Linked DNA regions of Pelodiscus sinensis. The protein of the gene in region 1 purifies or fractionates together with the protein of each later gene. This does not show direct contact. Links are inferred from orthologs where the notes say so. Each region holds a gene or a part of one and is shown in the gene's direction. Other genes may lie near its edges.

What was found. The genes of interacting proteins can lie anywhere in the genome.
Region 2: the proteins of ACTL6A (region 1) and MORF4L1 purify together in Homo sapiens (affinity purification with mass spectrometry; 6 studies listed by BioGRID and IntAct, with this or other methods). This does not show direct contact. The link is inferred for Pelodiscus sinensis from reciprocal best matches to the Homo sapiens genes ACTL6A and MORF4L1.

Annotation. Positions count from the first base shown.
Region 1 is NC_134720.1:44,785,659-44,795,620, forward strand, and holds the start of ACTL6A (actin-like protein 6A), read left to right. Parts: upstream 1-5,538; 5' UTR 5,539-5,672; coding exon 5,673-5,697; intron 5,698-6,020; exon of another isoform or gene 6,021-6,116; intron 6,117-7,542; coding exon 7,543-7,619; intron 7,620-7,798; coding exon 7,799-7,973; intron 7,974-8,408; coding exon 8,409-8,509; intron 8,510-9,962.
Region 2 is NC_134724.1:1,222,295-1,232,385, forward strand, and holds the start of MORF4L1 (mortality factor 4-like protein 1), read left to right. Parts: upstream 1-5,552; 5' UTR 5,553-5,647; coding exon 5,648-5,687; intron 5,688-8,867; exon of another isoform or gene 8,868-8,882; coding exon of another isoform or gene 8,883-8,913; intron 8,914-10,091. UniProt on the Homo sapiens protein: Component of the NuA4 histone acetyltransferase (HAT) complex which is involved in transcriptional activation of select genes principally by acetylation of nucleosomal histones H4 and H2A.

The DNA of each region.
Region 1 (9,962 bases):
AACTGGCTTTATAGTTGCTCAGCACTAGCAGCGCAAGCAGCTGCTGTGCAGTCCAGGATCTGCTCAAAGAACGGTATACTTTCCACAAAGCATTATTTCAGTAATAACCTTGAAAGATAAAACATCTAAGGATAAATCCTTTGCCATTACAATTTCACATTTTCTGAATTAGTCTCTTTCTTGCAATAATCTCTTCCTCCTCCAACAACCCTCTCTTGTGTACTAGTGCCACATGCTGGAAATTGTGATAATACACCATCAACAAAAGGTTTCGTAAGACCTACAAAGGGTGCCAGGTAACCTGATTTTTCATCCTGCATTTAATACAAAACAGGATTTACACTGATCTTCCTCATTTCAGTATCTTGTACGATTTGCTAGTTTACACACTTTTGTTAATCTAAACAGTGGTACATATAACTATGTATTTCTTCTCAATGACAGCAGGATAAGCTGAAATTCTGAAAGAATTTTCCCTACTAAAGAAACAGAGAAAGAGAACGAGAATACATGTTAAATGAAATCAAAGGAATAACTTACCCTTAAGCGCTAGCACATCCAACCATCTCCTGGTTCCCTTGCAACACTGGGGTTGTTGTTTTTCGTCCGAGTTGTCTCCTATTGCTCGGTTTTAATATTTCCTCTGCAATTCAGTGTCGTTGGTGTAGGAGGAGACTTAAATTGAAGCTATCAATCACCAGCCCACCCTTAGTGTGCAGCAGGCTGGGAATTGTAGTCCAAAACCACAAACATACAGCTTACATATTTTCAGACTTACACTAGTATAAATTGGGAGTAATTCTAGTGAAAGAAGAATCTGGCACATTACAGTTAGATTCTCTTTGTTCCTTTTCTTGCTTCACTGATTACAAACAACATTTTGTTGAATTAGAACATCTTTCACATAGGTGCAGGGAATGCTACAGCACCCCTCGGGTTTTGCATTTGTCTTCCCTGCACTTAGAGGCCAGCCCTGCTGCCAGCTCCTCCAGCTCTCGGTCCCAGCCTTTGGGAAGCCCCCATGGGGTCCTGCTGGCCCCATGAACTTTGCCAGTCCCTTGGGATTCTGTTACCACAGGCTTTTCCAACCCCCCAGGGTCCCACCGGCTCTCAGGGTCCCGTCACCCACTGGCCTCATGAGCTCCTCCAGCCCTCGGGATTCCACTGCCTGCTGGCCCTGCCACAGTCTCCACAGACCGCTGGCCCCGCCAGCCACAGGGTCCCACCACTGGCCCAGGACTCTGCAACTGCTCCCAACTGTGGCTCCAACGGTGAGGATTGTCAACTTTCCCAGACTTGATGGACCAGATGCCATTTGCAGCAATGGAATCCAGTCCATCTGGTCCAGAAGAATTGGCAATAGGGATGTAAAATCCTATGTAAGTAGTTAACCGCTTAACCAATTAAACGGGTGAATGGGTGGGAAGGCACTTCAGTCCAGCTGGGACTGGGGATGCTTCAGCACCTCTTGCCCAAGGCAGGCCTCGCAAAGCTAGAGCAACTCCCTGCCATTCACATCATTAGTTGGCAACCCAATCTCAACAGGCCAAAAGGGGCAAGGGAAGGGGCAGCTCAGCACCCCCATCCCAAATATAGTTCCGGGGCCACAGATCCTTTATCTGGAATTTTTATTGTATTAAAGGATTTAAGGGAAAGTTTTTACAGGTGTCCACTTGAAAAAAATGCATAACTTATGTATTTTGATGGACAGCGTTAGTACTAAGTAGTTTATGATAATTAAGTTTCATGCCACTCTGGGTAAGTCTGTACAGGAAAAAACATCAGTGGCTGGCCTAGGTCAACTGACCTTGGCTGTAGGGGTCAAAATCACTATGTAGATGTTGGGGCTCAGATTCCCAGGGATTAGGCTCCAGCTCGAACATTCATGCAACAATTTTTCATCTCATAACCTGAGCCCCACAAGCACAAGACAGCTGACCTGGGCCAGCCACAGCTGTGCTATAGATCTTCTATGTTTGTGCACATGTACCCTCTAATGCAGTAGTGGGCAACCTGCGGCCTGTGATCTACACATGGTCAATCAGCATTATTCACTGGCAGCACACGAGACATTTTGTTGATTTGACCCTTTGCAGGCACAGTCCCTCGAAGCTCCCAATGGCCACAGTTTGTCATTCCTGGCCAATGGTACCTGCAAGAAGCAGTGGCCAGCATGTCCCTGCATCCCGCAGCTCCCATTGGCCAGGAACAGCAAACCATGGCCACACGGGGTTGGGGAGCCTGTGCATGCAGATAGTCAACACTGGTGTAGCCCAAGGTCCAGTGTGCTTCAGGAGCAGCCCTTGGAACTAAAAGCTGTAGACTATAAACTATGACATGTTGGAGAACTTCCTGGTTCCTGCCATGATGTACCCTCTGCCTCCCAGCAGGGCCTCAGCACTGACTGAGCTGGCAACACGTAAGCTGCAAGCAGAGAAGAGGCTGCTGTACTGTAATCCTGTTCTTCGTACTTTACAGAATTAAGCCTGTTCCTGGTGGTTTGTCTGAGTGGGTCTGGTCTGAAGAGCACACACACTGACACGTGATGGAGAATGCACAAAGGAGCCTCAGGCCTAGTCTCCCAGAGTTGTGTAAAAAGTCACACAGCTTCCCCTATGTTGAATAACCTCATACTGGGATAGCGGACAGGAGGGGCTACATCAGCAACATGTCTCGCAGCCCCTAGTGGAGTATTCTGATGTGCCAGGTACAGCCCACAGGCCACATATTGCCCACCACAGCTCTAATGTTTTCCTCAGGGCAAAAGGTCAAGAGACGCATATTAAAACATTTAAAAAGTTATATTTCTACATAAATAAACTATGTTTTATTTATACAGTGCAAGAAATATAAAAAAGCACTTTACAGGGAAATATAAAGAGAATGGACTAAGTCCTGCTCTCAGTTACACTGGTGTAATTTTTAAATAACTCTACAAACAAAGTGAAGTTACTCTGAATTTACCCTAGTATAAATGAGATCTGAACAAGGTCCAAGATCCTTGCCTCAAGGCACTTACAATCTAGAATCAGGCAGAAAATATAATCAAATGGCAGTGTACTTTGAAAAGGTGGGGTTAGCAAAAGAAGAGCTAACAGCATCCTTTGAGGCTCAGTTTCCTCTACAAAATGAAGCTTACAGTTTTCTTGGATCTCTTACTTTCATACTATTGTTTCTAAATGTATGAATGAATTAAATATCACTCAATGAAGGATAGCCAAGGAAGTGATTTTAAAGGAGAGATTTAAATATGAGACATATCACCCTCACATACTTTTCCACCAAAATCAGAACTTCCACCAAAATCAATAAGAACAGTGCACACGTATGTGAAAAGAGTATTCAGCCTTATGTATTTTACATATGATCTGTGGTTAGCCAGTATCTGATCTTTGTATTAGGATGCAAAAATTAGCTATGTGCTCTATGTAACTTTGAAAAATGGCATTAATTATTCTACAAAGGCCCTAATCAACCAGTTTAAGATTTCTCAATGGTCAATATTATGCAAATCATGGGATTGGACACTTGGAATTTTAGGCAGATCTACCTATCTAGTTCTCTGGCTCCTGAACTCTCCAAGTCCCTTTTCCTTTTCATCAATTTCCTGTTTTCCCTCCTCCACCCCATTCCACTTCCCTGCTCACTACTTAGTCCTTCCTAACTTTGTTTTCTAGCTCTCTGTGCTGTGTTCTATGGCTTTACTGGCCAAATGCCAGGGCAGATACTAACATCTCCCACCCCTTCTTTCTCTGCCAGAACAATCCAGTGAGGATGGCAGTTTAGTAACAAGCAGGGGAAAGGAGGGAATCAGATGAGCTCAGCCCAATATCCAGATTTTGAGGCAGGAAGTTTGAGATGCCAAGGGACCATCACTGGGTTGGGAGGATATAGGGGGTGGTGGGAAGGTACAAAATTGACAGGGGCTTATACAGATTTTATTCCATTGGAAAAGGAGAACAGGGAGCAACAGAAGAAAGAAGACTCAGGAAGGGAGGTAAACTGGATTGGGAGGGGTACTTGAGAAAGGGATATTGATGGTAGAGTAGCAAGCACTGAACTCTGTAAAATGTCATGCATGTTTTATTAGAGTGACAAGGTGGGTTTTATTAAGCCAGCTGGAGATGATGAAAGACTTTTTTCAAGTCTACACAGAACTAATTTCCAGGCCTAGGAAAGGTACTCAGAAGTTTGATTCAAGTGAGCTGCTTAGGCAAAGTTTGTAACTTGCTAAAGTTAGACTTTAATCACTAGCACATTATTTTGTTTTGTTTGTATCTGTAACATACTAGTCTCTCTTTTCCTAGTTACTATCACTTACATCTCTTCTTAATCTCTCTTTTTCATAGTTACTATCACTTACATCTCTGTGCTGTTACAGGCATATATCTTCAGCTGCATTAACAGGCTGGTATGCATTCTGTCTCTTTGGAGAAAGCAAATTTAGTAATTTCTGTGAATAGAGAATGGACACTACAGAAAAACAGCTTGGGGGAACTTGAGAACTGGTTTTCAAGGTTACCTGCAAGATAAAGGAAAGGTAAGCAGTGTTACTGGTGACACCTGGTGTGGCAAAGACCTAACTCATGTCCTTTGAACTCCAGTGACGTTCTTTTGCTGAGGCAGAGAGGTAACTCAGCAGCTTACTGTTCAGGGTATCCCAAGAGCATCCCAACACTGCAAAAACACTTTCTTTTTTGCATTTTTCCCCTCGGGCCTTTTGTTACCCTGATGAAGATCAGGTTTGGCCAGTTCTCAACCCCTTACTTAAGGCAATCCCAAAATACCTTTTTCTAGGCTCCCTGCACCATCCTGCCCCAAAATACCCCACCTAACTTCCCACCCTAAAATGCCTCTCCCTAACTAGTGATAGAAATGTAGCCGTGTTAGTCTAGTGTAGCTGAAACAAAAAACAGGACTATGTAGCACTTTAAAGACTAACAAGATTGTTTAATTTGTCCTTTTCATATGTGTTCATTTTTTTAATTGTATCCTTTGGTATATATGGTTGTGACAATTTTCTTCCACTATTTGATCTGAGGAAGTGGGTCTGGCCCATGAAAGCTCATCACCTAATAAACCATCTTGTTAGTCTTTAAAGTGCTGCATAGGCCTGTTTTTTGTCTCCCTAACTACAGTCTCAAAGCATCCCTTGCTGGCCCACAAGCCCCAGCCTCCCCCCAAGTCTCTCCCTAACCCCCAACAGCAGCCAACCCCATAGCACCCTAACCAGCCCCCCAAGTTCCTTCCTAACCCCCAGCCAGCCCCATAACACCCTTCCCCGGCCCCCAAACATCCCTCCCTAGACCCAGCCTCCACACCCTCAGCCCCACCTACCCCCATGTCAATCAATTCCTTGCCCCGTCCCCCAACCCCAACCTCCGCTGACCCTGCACACTGCAACCATACTTGCTTCCTTCACTCTTTTTCTTGACAGGGATAGGTTTCCCGCTGTCTCGGCCCGCCCCCTGCTGGCCACGATTGGCCGCCCGCTCTCGGGGTTGCGGGGGCCGGCCGGCGCGCTCTGTTGGTCTGAGGGGAAAGCAGCAGCAAGTTCGGTTGAGCCGGCGGGGCGAGTGAGCGCGGGCCGGAGACTCGCGCTCGCTATTGTCAGCGAAAGTAGTTAGCGGGGGCTGCCGGGAGCGGGGCGCGAGACAGGCCCGGCGGCAGCCATGAGCGGCGGGGTGTACGGGGGAGGTGAGTGCCCGCCCCCCCCGCCTGTGAACCCCCCCCAGCCCCTGCCTGCTGCCCCCCACGACCGTTCCCCACGGGCCTCTCTGCCCCCCCCCCCCCCAGCGCCTGCCTGCTGCCCCCCAGCACCTCCGAGCCCCTGCTGCCCCTCACGGGCCTCCCCCAGCCCCCGCCTCGCCCAGGGCTGTTCCACACGAGGCTTCCCCTAGCTGCCCCCCCTCCTCCTCCGAGCCCCCACAGGCCTGCTGCATCTCCCACCCCCTCCCCCTACAGGCATGTGCTCTAGTCTGTCCATTATTTGTGCGTGTGCTGATGCCGCTTCCCCCTACCCAGGAGCTTCCCATGCAGCCCCGCGTAATCCGGCCACGTTCCCAAGCCTTGAGCTTCCTTGCAATCGATTTGCTGCCGCTCCCTGCGCTTCTTCCCCTCCCCAGTTATTTGCTGCTCTTCTGGTCCATAAAGTGACAGCGTTGCTAAGATACAGCTGTAATGCTCCACCCATGAACACCACCAGCATCGTTCTTCCCATCAAAGCTAACAACTCCACTCAGCTGCGGTCGGAAACACACAGTGCTTCCCTTCAGTATACCTTGCAAGTTTTCATTAAAGTGGAAGGTCTAACTAGTTTGAAGGTCGTCTTAGTTTCTAGAATAGTGATAGAAATGTAGCCGTGTTAGTCTGGTGTAGCTGAAACAAAATACAGGACTTTGTAGCACTTTAAAGACTAACAAGATGGTTTATTAGATGATGATTAGACCACGAAAGCTCATCATCTAATAAACCATCTTGTTAGTCTTTAAAGTGCTACATAGTCCACAAACATCCCGCTCTCCCTACCTCTAATATCATCAATTCACAGACACTTACCTTCCTTCCTCCCCCCCCCCCCCCGCATCCCCCTCCTGTTCTGCAATGTGATTTGTCCTTTTCATATTTGTTCATTTTTTTAATTGTATCCTTTGGTATATATGGTTGTGACTACTTTCTTCCACTATTTGATCTGAGGAAGTGGGTCTGGCCCATGAAAGCTCATCATCTAATAAACCATCTTGTTAGTCTTTAAAGTGCTACATTGTCCTGCATTTTGCTTCAACTACATAGTCCTGTATTTTCTTAGTTTCTGTCTTTGGTAAATTTCATTGTGGCCTTTTCCGTTTGTTAGATCTGTAAGGCAGATTAATGGTGTAAGGCAACATTTGGTGCTGTTACTTTGGTGGGAAATTCAGGTTAGCACGCCATCGAAAGATATATTTGGAAGCCAAGATCTTGCACCAGAGCATCTCCTGTAAACAGTGCTACCAAAATAATAATAATAATTAGTATTATTAATAATTTTGCTAGGGTCCTGACCCCGTTGAGCCCATATGGAGTCTCTTTACAGATCAGTACTTAAGGGAATGGATGTATTTCTTAAACATCTGTGTTATAGACTGTCACATCTAATTCTAATTATTTTCCTGTTTAATTTCTAATAATCCAGGGAAGTGTAGGGGGAAGTATAACTTTGTGAGTAAATCATAACACATTCTGAAAATCACTTTACCAGTTATGGTTAACTGGTGGACTGGTGCAGTCCCCTGCCTGCTTAACAGGGATTTTGCATCCCTAATTTTGAATGAAAGTACTGTTTTATTGGTTATTTACTTAAAATACAATGGCTTTTTTGGGGTAATTTTTCTGCAATTAATATTTTCAATTGAAAATATTTTGTTCTTTGCCAGCTTTAAATCCTGGTTAAAAGTTGCGATGGTGGTTTGCACTCACGTTTAACAAAAAGTGTGTTGGCTTGTATGTTTTTGCTGATAAGCACAGAGATTTTATTGCCTGCCTATTTACTTCTAATCCTTACAGATGAAGTTGGGGCTCTTGTTTTCGATATTGGTTCCTATACAGTGAGAGCTGGCTATGCTGGTGAGGATTGTCCAAAGGTAAGAGTCATTGTGATTAAATGGTTTTTTTACGTATTCTACGAACCACTGAACAAGTTTTGAATTTGTAGACATTTTTTTTAAATGTATAGCTGAAATGAAAACAGTACTTTGTTATAAGTGAATAAACAAATGCCCACTCTGCAGTTGCCATACCTGGTCCATATTTTACATTGCAGGTTGACTTTCCCACTGCTATTGGTGTGGTACTGGAAAGGGATGATGGCAGCACCTTGATGGAAATAGATGGTGACAAAGGAAAACAAGGAGGTCCTACTTACTATATAGACACCAATGCACTGCGAGTTCCAAGGGAAAACATGGAGGCTATTTCACCCTTAAAAAATGGAATGAGTATGGTGCTCTGTCTTTTTCTTCTTGTTCTTAAAATCTGATCACTAACTTTATATTCAGCTGCAAAGTTTTATCTGTCACGGGCAAAAAAATATATTCAATTTTCATTAATACTCTTGGTCCAAAAATGAAATGTTGTATTTAAAATGGTTTTAATTATGAGGTCTGATCTGAGGAAGAACTATAGAGACTTTCCTCCATGTAATGAGCTGGAATGGGTCCCACCTGATAACGGTGGTGGGGGAAAAAGAAGGGGACGAATGTAATTGGTAAGCAGCATAGAACTTTATGGAGCTGCTGAAGTGTGTGAATTTTTAAGACTGTTGTTCAGGAGATGGTTGATCTATGTGTTTTAAAGTTATGTTTTTAGATGACTCAATTAACTATGTCTCTTTTTGAAAATGGAATAATATTGTCTAAACGTCATTGTTACAGTTGAGGACTGGGACAGTTTCCAGGCAATTTTGGATCACACATACAAGATGCACATTAAATCTGAAGCAAGTTTGCACCCGGTCCTAATGTCAGAAGCACCAGTGAGTAAAAGCATATTTCCTTCTTTGAAATTTTATAATGAATAGATTGTCATTGGGCTTTAGAACTCTTTTAATCTTGTTTTTACAAATTTTTTACAGAATTGTAAGTTAGGAATTCTGAAATTTTTAGAAAAGTAAGAGGTAATACCTAGAGGCTTGCTCTAAGGATGTGTTAGTATATCTCTTTAAATGTTTAACTGATGAGCCTGGGCTCATCAGTTAACCCTCACAGTTACATGCAAGGTTCTGTCCCTTCCCCTGATGCTGCCTCTGTATCTGGGTCAGGTAGCTCCATGGGAGCAGGTGCTCGCAGGAAGCCAACTCTCTGCAAGCACTGGCTTCTGCCTCCCCTCCTTGTGCTGATATAGAGGCAGCAGTATGGGGAAGGGAGAAAATGGAGAGGGGCAGGCAGCTTAAAAGCCAGCTCCTGGCGCGTCCCTTATCCCGCGGAACTGCCTTCCCCCCACCCCACCCAATGTGTAAATGCTGAAAACCCCTTTTTAACATCCCTACCTTGCACAGATAAAAAATTTGCATTTGAATCTAAGCCACAAACATGGCGCACAAATATAAAGTGGCTATGTGCAGATTTGCCAGTCTTGAGAGTTTACAGTTTAAAAATACTCTGCTGGATTATTCTCTGCATTTTATTTTTTGTCAGTAACTTGAAATGATGGTTACTTTTGTGATACAGCACAAAGTGCACACTCTCCTCTCAAATGGAGATCACAAATTTCAAGATGGATTTCTTCTTAGAGCCTTTGTTTTGTAATAAGCTTCTCTTCTTGGGGAGAGTGGTGGAAGTGTAAAATTGTAGGTGAACTCATATTATGTTAACTAAAAATAGAGATGTTTTTAAAATCATTCATTACAACAAGCCATTCTAAAACAGGGTCAGGGAGATTAATATGTATAATGGCAAAGCTTTAATTTTGTTCCCTGGATTACTCAATGGCCTCATAGAGCAAATGAAAATGTAAAAGTCAGAATTTAAATAGAACTATAGACTATAGTTCCCCACCTTACTGTGCTCTATATTAGAAGGCACAATATAGGAATCTGAATAGCAACCATGGAGGGTATATATAATGAAGATGAGCCTCCTTTAATACAATTATTGTAAAAAAAAATTTCCACATTAGTGTATTGAAAGCAGTGACTGTAAGGGTACGTCTAGACTACAGGGTTTTGTCGACAGAAGTTTTGTCGACAGATACTGTCGACAAAGCTTCTGTCGACAAAGAGCGTCTAGACTACATCCAGTTCTGTCGACAAAGCAAGCCGCTTTGTCGACATAACAGTGTGGACACAAAGGACAGTGTAGATGCAGTAATGCCTTCTATTGACAGAACTCTGTCAACAAAAGGCGTTATTCCGCGTAGAATGAGGTTTACATATGTCGACAAAACTGCTGAGTTTTGTCGACATAACTCAAAGGCAGTGTGGACGCAGG
Region 2 (10,091 bases), on another chromosome or scaffold:
GGAGGAAAAATCCCTTCCCGAGCCCTGCCCAGGGCTGGCTGAAACTCTGAAGGATGAACTTTAGGAACATAGGATGTACACTGAAAGAGCATCCGGGGGTTGCTGAACCCTGCTGCCCGTCATTGGGGGTTGCCAATCATAGACTAAAATAAGACAAGATTCAGTCCTCTGCAGATGGCCAGGACAAGGGCTAGGTACCACTTCTACCTTGTCTTAGATCTTTGCAGGGCCTGGATTTCTCCAAATGCCTGGAGGTGGGCTGCATGGTAAAAAGGCAGGGGAAGAGCCCTGCATGAATACAAAATTGGTATCTGCATCCACGTTTGCAGATCAGGATATGGATACCCACGAGTCTATAGCAGATCTCCACAAATGTGCAGGCTTCTAGATACAAAATTGTTTTACATGTCTGTATCTGTATCTGCAAAAATGAGCGATGGATATCTGCAGCCACATCCAGGGATGTGAATACTTGCAGCTATGAAGTGGATAGCCACAGATTTGCGGGGCTCTAGGTATGGGATTAGGTGGGGTAGGGAACAGATATCCCACAATCTGACCAATGCAGGTGGCAGTAAACAAAAGCACTGGCCATCAGCTATTCAGAGCACGCTGGCTCTCCTGGAAATATCTGAATGATTTCAAATACAAATTCTTAGATCTCTTAGGCCTAAAATACAAATAAGAACCATCCTCCTACAGCCCTTTAGCTGTATTACCACCAACATAGCTGTAAAGCACCTTTTATTGGGAACCCTCCAAAAGCACTTTACAAGTCGATGAACAAGCTGGGGATGAGCAGATCACCAGGCTTACCTGAATGACCACCAGGGAACCGGTTGGTTAACCATCCCTGTTCAAACCCTGATACAGGCAGCTGTGACACGCCCACAGAGACCCTGCCCAAAGCAACCCCCTCCTGTGGTGGCCAAGACACTGGGCCCCAGACCCCATGGGAGTCAGCATGGAGCAGCTCCCACCCATGGCTGCCCATCTGGCCACTGGGACCAGCTTGGAGCAGCCCTCTGGCCATGGTGGGCCTGGCTGGAGCATCCCCCAGTGTGCCTGGCGGGCAGGCCCCTCCCACACATAGGCAATGGGATGGCAGGCTGGGCTGGACCCTAGACTCAGCTGCTCTGCACCAGCTCTCCAATGGTTAACTGGTTAAACAGCATCTTTTTAATACAGGGGTGGCCAGCCTGTGGTTCCAGAGCCACACGTGGCTCTTCAGCAGTGAATAGGTGGCTCCTTAGGTACCAAATCCAGGGATGGAGCTACAGCTGCCAACTTTCCACTGGGCTGTAGGGTGCTCTCTGTTCCACCCCCAGCTTTGCCCTAGGCGCTGTCCCCCTCCAACCCTTTCGCCTAGGATCCTGCCACTTCTTACCCTCTCCACTGAGCCAGTCACACCCATGCTTCCCCTTCCCAGTGTCTCCCACTGAGAGAGCTTATCGCAGTGGGCAGGAGGAAAAGGAGGAGGCGGCACTGACCGGTGGGGCTGCCCATGGGGGGATGTGCTGAGAGTGGTGGTGGGGAGATGAGCAGGGCTGGTGCAGGGCCGGACTGAGGCATGGGCTAGCTGGGCAGCTGCCCGGGGTGCCAACTGATGAGGGGCGCCTGATGGTAGCTGTAAGGGGCGCGCGGTGTCCCTTACAGCTGCCATCAGGCGCCATGCGCCTGGCTCCCACAGTGCCGGCACCACGGCGCCAGCCAGCAGCTCCCTTCCCCCCACGACCGTGGGGCCCTGCACTGCCCGGCGCATGCGCCAGCAACACTAGCCAGGCTGGGCTGGGCAGCGCATGCGCCATGTGCCCCGGGGGTGGGCCCCGGGCTGCGCACCAGTGGCTGTGGCCAGCCCATGCATGCGCTGTGCACCCCAGGGGCAGGCCCGTGCTCCCTGGGAGGGCCCCACAGGTGGGCCCGCACATGCGCCGTGCACCCGGGGGCAGCACTGTGCGCCCGGGCCCGGGGTGCCAAAAGGGCTCTGGCTGGCCCTGGGCTGGTGACACAGAACTGTGGCTGTTTGTCCATGTGCAGTGGTACATTCTGGCTCCTTCTCAGGGTTAGGTTGGCCATCCCTGTTTTAAGTTTAACCTGTTATCTATTCTATGGGAATTTACATTTCTAGTACAAGCTGCAGGTTAACAGGGATCCATTACTGAAAAGCAGTCACCTCTGGTGTGAAGCATGGTAGCTGGCAGTGTGTGTGTGTGTGGGGGGGGGAGTACAGCAAGACACACAACATTTCCTCACTATGATTAAGGGAACTCCTGCTTTCCAGCCATAATCCATTATTGTTGGATTCTAGAAATCAGCCCCCAATAATCAGCGTGTGCAATCAGGAAGATGAGCACTAAAATCACGGCACGATGCACACTGGGGTAGTTTAGGCCCCCAGCATGAAAAGTTAAGGGGTAGAATGCTCAGCTCCGGCCAGCAGGTATGCTAGGTAAGGGGGTGGGATAGAGAAGGGGAAACTCCATATGTTTTCATAGCATTTTGGACTTGTAGTCCCTGAAGCCCTCCTTAACCTGCCCTTAGGCTCTCTGCTTCCAGTTCCTTAGTGGTGATGGGAGAGGGGAGCTTCAGGGTGCCTCAGCCTGAAGACCAGCGTTCCTCAGTGCAGAGAGAGAAAAGTGTCTATTTCCTGCAGAGCTGGTGTCTTTAATTCACAGCTGGAACTTTTTTTTTTTTTTTTTGCTGGTGTGGGAGAAAAATCAAATAACTCCAATTGTGTCTAAGGGGGGACTGTGCAGGAAATCAAAACTCTCTAAAAGAAAACTGCTGTAAGGGTTAAAAGTTTTCCAGGCCTCTCTCCCTGTAACAGAGAGAAATCATCTTAACTCTAATCAAGACCCTTACAATTCCTCCTACCTCAAGTTCATGGAGACTCCTAGTCTGTCACAAATTGCCATGTAAACTCTTATCTTTGTCACAGTTTGCCTTGTAGACTCCTCACTCAGGTTCTCATGTGCCTTTGTACTGTAAAACTTACTTCTAGCACTTCTGGTGTGAACAGAAACCTCACTTCTGCTGAGACTTTGATATGTTAAAGAAAACAATCAACAACTAAACTGTCTGAGCATACTGTATAAAGGATCCCTGAACCTGTCTCTCAGGGCTGCTGCTGCTCTCACTCTGGTAGCTGTCAGCCTGCATGCATGCATAATAAAGTTTTCCTTCTAGATTTCTCTCCTGCCTCACTGCTTTGACCTCCAGCCTCGGACCCTTCTGGGGGTTCTGTACCCCAGGGGAGTGAGATTTCCCCAACACTGGTTTAATCAGTCATGGTATATTTTGACATCACTGGAGTCTATGGGCAGCAGCAGGAGCAGTGAGATATTATCTAGTAAAACTGTAAGGTACCGAACACAGGGTGCACCCAGCACACTGCTAAATCTGCCCACACAGCCATCAACCCCTGGATATTTAATATCTTAAGGGATTTACATTTACTTGTGTCAAACACAGCTCGGTGCCAGGTTTAACTGGCGGGCTTCATTTTTTAATATTTATTGAAAATATTGAAAAGATGAAGCACATACACCTGTGTAGGCGAGGCTTAGAGACCATCAACATCAATTAAAGTCTCCCCAGGATTTCAAGTCTTGTAACCTTTAAAAAATAGAGATTAGATGAGGGGAGGCTGCACACAACCACACTCATCCATGGGTATGGACTTTACAGTCACAGAATTTTGCACCTGTGCTTGTGAATGGCCAAACCAGCAGTCCCCAGGTCCCTACAACTTATTATCTAACTGATCTCACATTTGTGTTGGTTAATATATGAACACTCTGATCATAGCTCACCCCATGTTCAAAATCTGAATATTCTTAATCCAATGAACGTGAAAATAATAACAAAAGCAGAAGTCTAGCGGGGGTGGGCCTGACGTGGGTGGGCCATGACACACTTATTTTTCATCCAGGTCCACCCTGCTCGGGCATAGGGGCTGACACACCTGCGCCTGGACTAGGGTGCTGGTCTGACCTCACTCTGCTAGCACCCCAGCCAGCATGCGGGGGTTTTACCACCCCAATCATTACCCACCCACCAGAAGGTGGGGCCACCCCAGCGGGCCCTTCTGGTTAGCCACTGAGAAGCACAGATATATTGTAAGAGCAAAGGGGCTCCACCGGGTGAACATAAAGTTTTCAATTTTTCAGGCTTGACTGGGAATTAAAGCCATTGGACTCTGAGGCACTAGTAGGGGTTTGTGCCTGAAACTGGGAACTCTTCAGCAGCCTGAAACCTGGCCCTGCTGGGATGGTGCTATAGGTCGGTCTGCACAGACAGAAGGTGAATTGGAATCGAATTGTTCACAGGTGGGTCCTAGTTTCATGCACCCTGCTGTCCAGAAGGAGAGTTTGCAGGCGGATTAATTTTTTAAAAGAAAGCTGCTTCCTTGTGTTTTGAAGAAGAGAGAAGAGGAAAGCCATCGCTTGCCGGTTGGTTTTAAACACAGGCAGCAGGGCAGCTTCAACAGTAAAACATGGAACAAAATGCCTCAGAGAGGTTTCCGTGGTAGTCTGTCGCTTTAAAAACAACGAGCAGCCCTATGGCACCTTAGAGACTAGGAAACACAATATAGCATCATGAGCTTTCGTGGGCACAACCCATGTGACAAAACAGCTTTGTCTCCACATTTTGGCACAAGTGCGGCAGCGGTTTAAGTGAATTGCTTGTTCTTAGGAGGCCTATTGATGGCTGGGCATGGTGTGGACACAATCCGCTGAAACAACAGGGAGATTAACGGGGCTCCTCTCCCAAAGTGCCTTTGTGGAAGCTGCATGAACGTCCCACACCTTGGCCACCCATCCCTTCCCAGTGCCCATTCTATGCCCCGTGGCATGCTGAGATCCAGGTTGCAGCTGGCCACAAGGGGGCGTTTGCAGGGGATCCCTTGCAAAATGCAGGAGACAGACACTGGTAGCAGTAATCCAGAAATCCCTTTAAGCCCTGTTAAATCCTTTGCCTAAAGCCTCACATTGAGAAAAGCTGCATGAGAGAGGCATACTGTCAACTGTAGTACCAAACAACTCAAGCTTCCAAGAGCCCGGCTAGCTCAGTCGGTAGAGCATGGGACTCTTAATCCCAGGGTCGTGGGTTCGAGCCCCACGTTGGGCGCAACCTTTTTCCCCTATACTCCCAGGAGAACGTTTTTCCATGCAGCTCCCTAGACTCCCCCAGGATCGCGTGGGGTCCTGGGCTGGCTTGCTAGGCGTCTAAGAGCAACGCGGACTCCCCAGGCTCGGGCAGGGGGATGCAAACGAAGGGCCGCTGGCCGGGGAGGAGGAGTGATGGGAGAAGCACACGGAAGGGGCTCAGGCTGCAAAGGCTACAGGGCGCGGGGGAGGGCCCGACACAGGCCTGTGCCTTGTGCAGGGAAGGGCAGCGCGCAGCCCTCTGCTCCGAGCCAGGGCCGGGCGCTGGGCACAGCTGGCCACGGGACGCCCCGGCCGGGCAGAGCGCACGTGGCGCTGCAGGGAAGCCTGGGGCCGGCCCCGCCCAGGACTACAAGTCCCGGCATGCCCGCGGCGGCGGGAGCATGCGCAGAGGCGCGGGGCTGGGCGCTATAATGCGGTGGCGCTGGCGCGGCCCCGCCGGCAGGGGAGGGGTGGGGAGGCGGGCGAGGCTCTTATAAATGGCGCCCAAGCAGGACCCCAAGCCCAAATTCCAGGAGGGTGAGTGCGGCCGGCGGGGCGGCCTGGAGCGGGGGGAGGAGGGGGGGGCTGTTGTTGGAGCGCGGGCTATTGGGGGGGAGAGTGGGGGGGCTGGGGGGGAGGATAGATGGGAGATGGATGGATGGGGGAGGAGGCTGGCTGTTGGGGGGGATGTGAGGGGGGGCTACTGTTGGAGCGCGGGCTGTTGGGGGGGCTATTGGGGGGCTGGGGAAGGCGTGCGGGGGGCTGTGGGAGGGTGGGGGAGGATGGGTAGGGGGAGGGTAGGGGGGTGGCTGGCTGTTGGTGGGGGAGGGGAGCTGGGGGCTATTGTTGGGATGGGGGATGGGTGGGTGTGGGGGGTTGTTGGGGGGGCTGCGGAGCATTGTTGGAGCGTGGGTGAGGAGTTTCTTTTGGTGGGGGATGGGAGCTGGGGACTGTTGGGGTGGGGGGTACTGGTGGGGCTGGGGGTGCCATGGGAGGCTGGCTGGGAATGGGGCTGGGAGCCCTGTGGGAGGCTGGAGAGGTGCAGGGGATGCTGGCTGGGCTGGGGGTGACAGGGTGTTGGGGTAGTGGGGACTGGGAAGCTGATTCTGTGGCCAATCCATGCTCCAGTAGTTACAAAGCTCTGGGGTGTGGACCAGAAAAAAGGCCCTTTTTAATCTTCCAGCTTCAGTCCCTCCCCCCTATCTCTGCAGTGGGGGAGCGGAGGGCTAAAAGGAAGAGATGGTTCTTTGAAAAAAGGCAAAACACAACCTCCTCACCCAGTTGCTTGTAGGTGAAACCACTGTCACTATCTGTGCTTCACACAGCTTGTGTGCACTGTGTGTCTGAGAGAGTGGTTTGTGGGCTGCAGGGTTGAAACACGGCCTACGAGGTCAGTTATGACCCATGGAGATGATGTATCCTGGCAGGTTGTGGTGAAACAGAATGGCCTTTCAGTTTAGATCTAGGTGCATGGTTCCCTGCTGGAAGCCATCTCCTCCAGCTACTCGATTGGTAGCTGCAGTATAGGTACTCCATTTTACAGAGGGCTTGCAGCTTCTTGGCAGTCTTTCAATGAGGCCCTCAGTTAAGCAAATTTGGACTCCCTTGTGTGGTACCTGAGGGGCAGAGGGCTTTTAGGATGTTCCAGCTCCCTTGCGTGCAGAGAATTAGGAAATGGCAGTGGTTTCTCTTAGATAATTCTCTTGTTTTTTTTCCATACTTCTCAATGCTCTCAGCTCACCCAGGAGACTCAGGACTTGTTCCTTTGTTTAGAGTGTGCTTGACTTTTGTCTTTTTCATCGGTGTGTGTCAAAGCATTCTGATAGATATCAGTGGGCATTGAAGCCATTGAAAGATTTTTTTTATCAAGTTGGACTGTCAAGATTTTCCTTTCTTGAGGTTGAGAAGTATGTTTACTTCATTACTTAAATTATTTTTATAAGCTCGCCCAGTTGGAGATCTTGTATCTTGTCTTGTGACATAGTCTTTATTAAATATGGCTTAAGGATATTGTAAACTACAGTATGCTGATTATTGTGGTGATGTGCAACACTGTTATAACTATGGTGATCTCTGTTCATAACAACCCCCCCTTTTTTAGACATAATATTTTAGGGCATGACTCGACTACAGAATTAAGTTGACCTTATTTACGTCGGCATCCAGCAGTTGCAGTAATTACATCACTTGTGTGTGTCTGGTTTCTTCTGTCAGTCGTGTGTGCGCTCACCAGGAGCACTCGTACTCATTGTACTATCAGTGTGGGGCATTGTGGGATGACTTCTGGAAGCCAGTAATAGTCACTATAAGCAATGCACTGCTGATGCTACATCCATGAGAAGCATAGTTAGGCCAATGCAGAGTGAAATGCCCTGCTGTGTTACCTTATGTTGTCTAGATTAGGGCAAAATTTTAGTGTAAACATGTGCATAGGCTGCCATAAGCTGCCGTGCATTGAGATAATGGTAATGCAGACCAGGCCTTAATTCTCATCAAGCTGAAACATGACATACACTTTTCATGAAAGATGCAACTTACTCAATAAAATCTGCTTTTAAAATAGGTGGTGTTTTTTAGAATAGACAAATGACAACTGTAAGGGTAATATTTAAATATGTAATTTGAAAGACTAATGGGTGTTTTGAATGTACATGTTGAATTGTACTCGTAGATATGGGAAGTGGTATTGTTTGTGCTGATGTGACTTTCTGGTGTAGTGTGTAATATGCCAGTTGGTTTTTTATTTTAGCTTTAGAGAAGCTGACAGCAAGTGGTCTTTAAAAATTTCCCCTGGATTTAGCAGTATGTATTTGCTTATTTAAAAAAAAAACAGATTTAACTTGCAAAGTTGTCTTTTGCCTTGTATCTTGTCCATTCTGGATCTGGATCCAGCAGATGGCATTTGATTGAAACCCTTCAGAAGTCAATGGAAAGATTTCCCTGGGAGTCAGACCAGGTCCTTAATGAATAATACATTAGAATTCACCTTACACATGTAAAACTACTGCAGCATTAAGCATTGAAGCCCCAATCCTTGCAACTTGTGTTTTGTTGTTGTTTTTTGCTTACCCATTCACATCCCTATGCCAGATAACTGGTTAACCGTTACCCAGGAGTGGCCAGCCATGGATGGAGGGCTGCTCCAGCCCCATGGGGCTGCCAGCTCTGGGAGTCGTCAGCCTCTCATGGGGTTGGGAGGGGCAGCTGGGGGGGAGCAGCTGCTTTCGGCCCAGCACAAGGCTGCCAACTCCTAGCTTGCGTGGCCTGGGAGCCAGCAGCCCTCTCCACCTCCTCCTGACTGCTGCTTCCAGCCCCAGACAAGGCTCCCCACTCCTAGCCCCTGCAGCCTGGGAGCCAGCAGCCCAGAGTGGGACCAGAAGCAGCTGGGCTGGAGTAGCCCCTGCACATGGTGTGGGGGGTCACTCCAGCCTGCCCCCGTTTAATCAGTTAACTGGTTAAATGCTAAATTTAACCAGTTAACTAATTAAATGGGATTTTTTCATTCCTAATCTGGAGCCCCATGGAAGCCAAGATTGTGCCATGTGGGCAGAAGAACTTGCAGGCTCGGGGATAGCTCTAGCTTAGGAGCTAGGAGCAGCATTGCTAAGCAACAAAAACACTTGGCATAGTTAGGTATTCAAGAATATTGACAAAGCATGTCTGGTTATCTTTTCAGAGCTGTTTAGACCCTAGTGTGCTCCAGTCAAAAATGTCTGACTTTAGGAAAACTGAATGCAGGGGTCCCCTGTAGTGCACCTTGTGGGTATGTACTATAGACATACAATTCAGAATTGTTTTGATTTAAGTTGGCGTGGGGAAGACTCCTGTAAACTTTTCTAATGTGTTTTCTTTGAGTATGAGTGTAGGTGATGGGGAGAAGGTTTTTGTCAGTCTTTGATTTCTCAGTAGTGAGGAGTCCTGCAGAAATAGTGCCACAGAATATTCTTGTTGTATTTATGTAAAGAGTCTAACTCTCCTTAAACTTAGGCAGCTCATTTTTCAGAGCAAATAAACAAGGCATGTTTTCTAGTGGTGTTAACAAGCAATGCAAAATAGTCGTGAAATAGTGTAGTCATTTTAAGTAGGTGTTTTGCATGCTGAGTAACTGGCTTTAAATTAAACAGAAAACCTTTTAAAATAAGTTGGTATTTCCACTGTGCAAAAAATATTGCCTAGAAATATCAAACCGGTTTTGGTAAGCTGCTTTCATACAGATGTTCTCTTGACATAATTTTGCACAGCAAACTATTTTATCTTGGATTTGCTGTCTTGTCAATGTATCTCTTTTTCTGACCCATTTTGAGCACGAAATCCTGCTGGTTATTTGTGGAGTTCACTGTAAATCTGTTTTATCCTACCACTTTACTGAATAAGGGAATAAATTATTAATTGGAAAAGTGACTTAGTAAATGTATCACTAAATATTTGGTGCAGTATTAAACCAGCTTATTTTGTAGGCATAGAGTAAGGAAAGCTAGAAATGCCCTTCTTGCAAAAAGAAGGGATTATTGGTTTCTCAAGCAGTGGACTGTATCCCCTGTAAGGCTGTGTTTCTCAAACTGTGGGTCCCGACCCCCCAGGGGGGGTCACGGTATCACAAAGTTTGAGAGAACCCCTGCTGTAAGGTATTGGTAAAGCTTAATTATTTTGGTATACAGGGTGCAATCTTTGTTATAAGAACTGAGGGAAGATGTTTCCTCTTGTACAGTACTGCCTTCTGTTAGATAAATTAGACTTCCGCTTTGTAAACAACTGCAGAATAAGGATTTTATAGCAGCTGAAATCCTGATCAAAAGTGAAACAACTACTTCCCCCTCAATGCCCTCATTCAGCTGCATGCTTTTCTTTGGGGACGGGAAGTAGTTGACGTCATTATAGTCAGTTTTCTTTAGACAATAGAGGTGTCAGGTCCTTGGTTTCCTCAAGGAAAAGGACAAACTC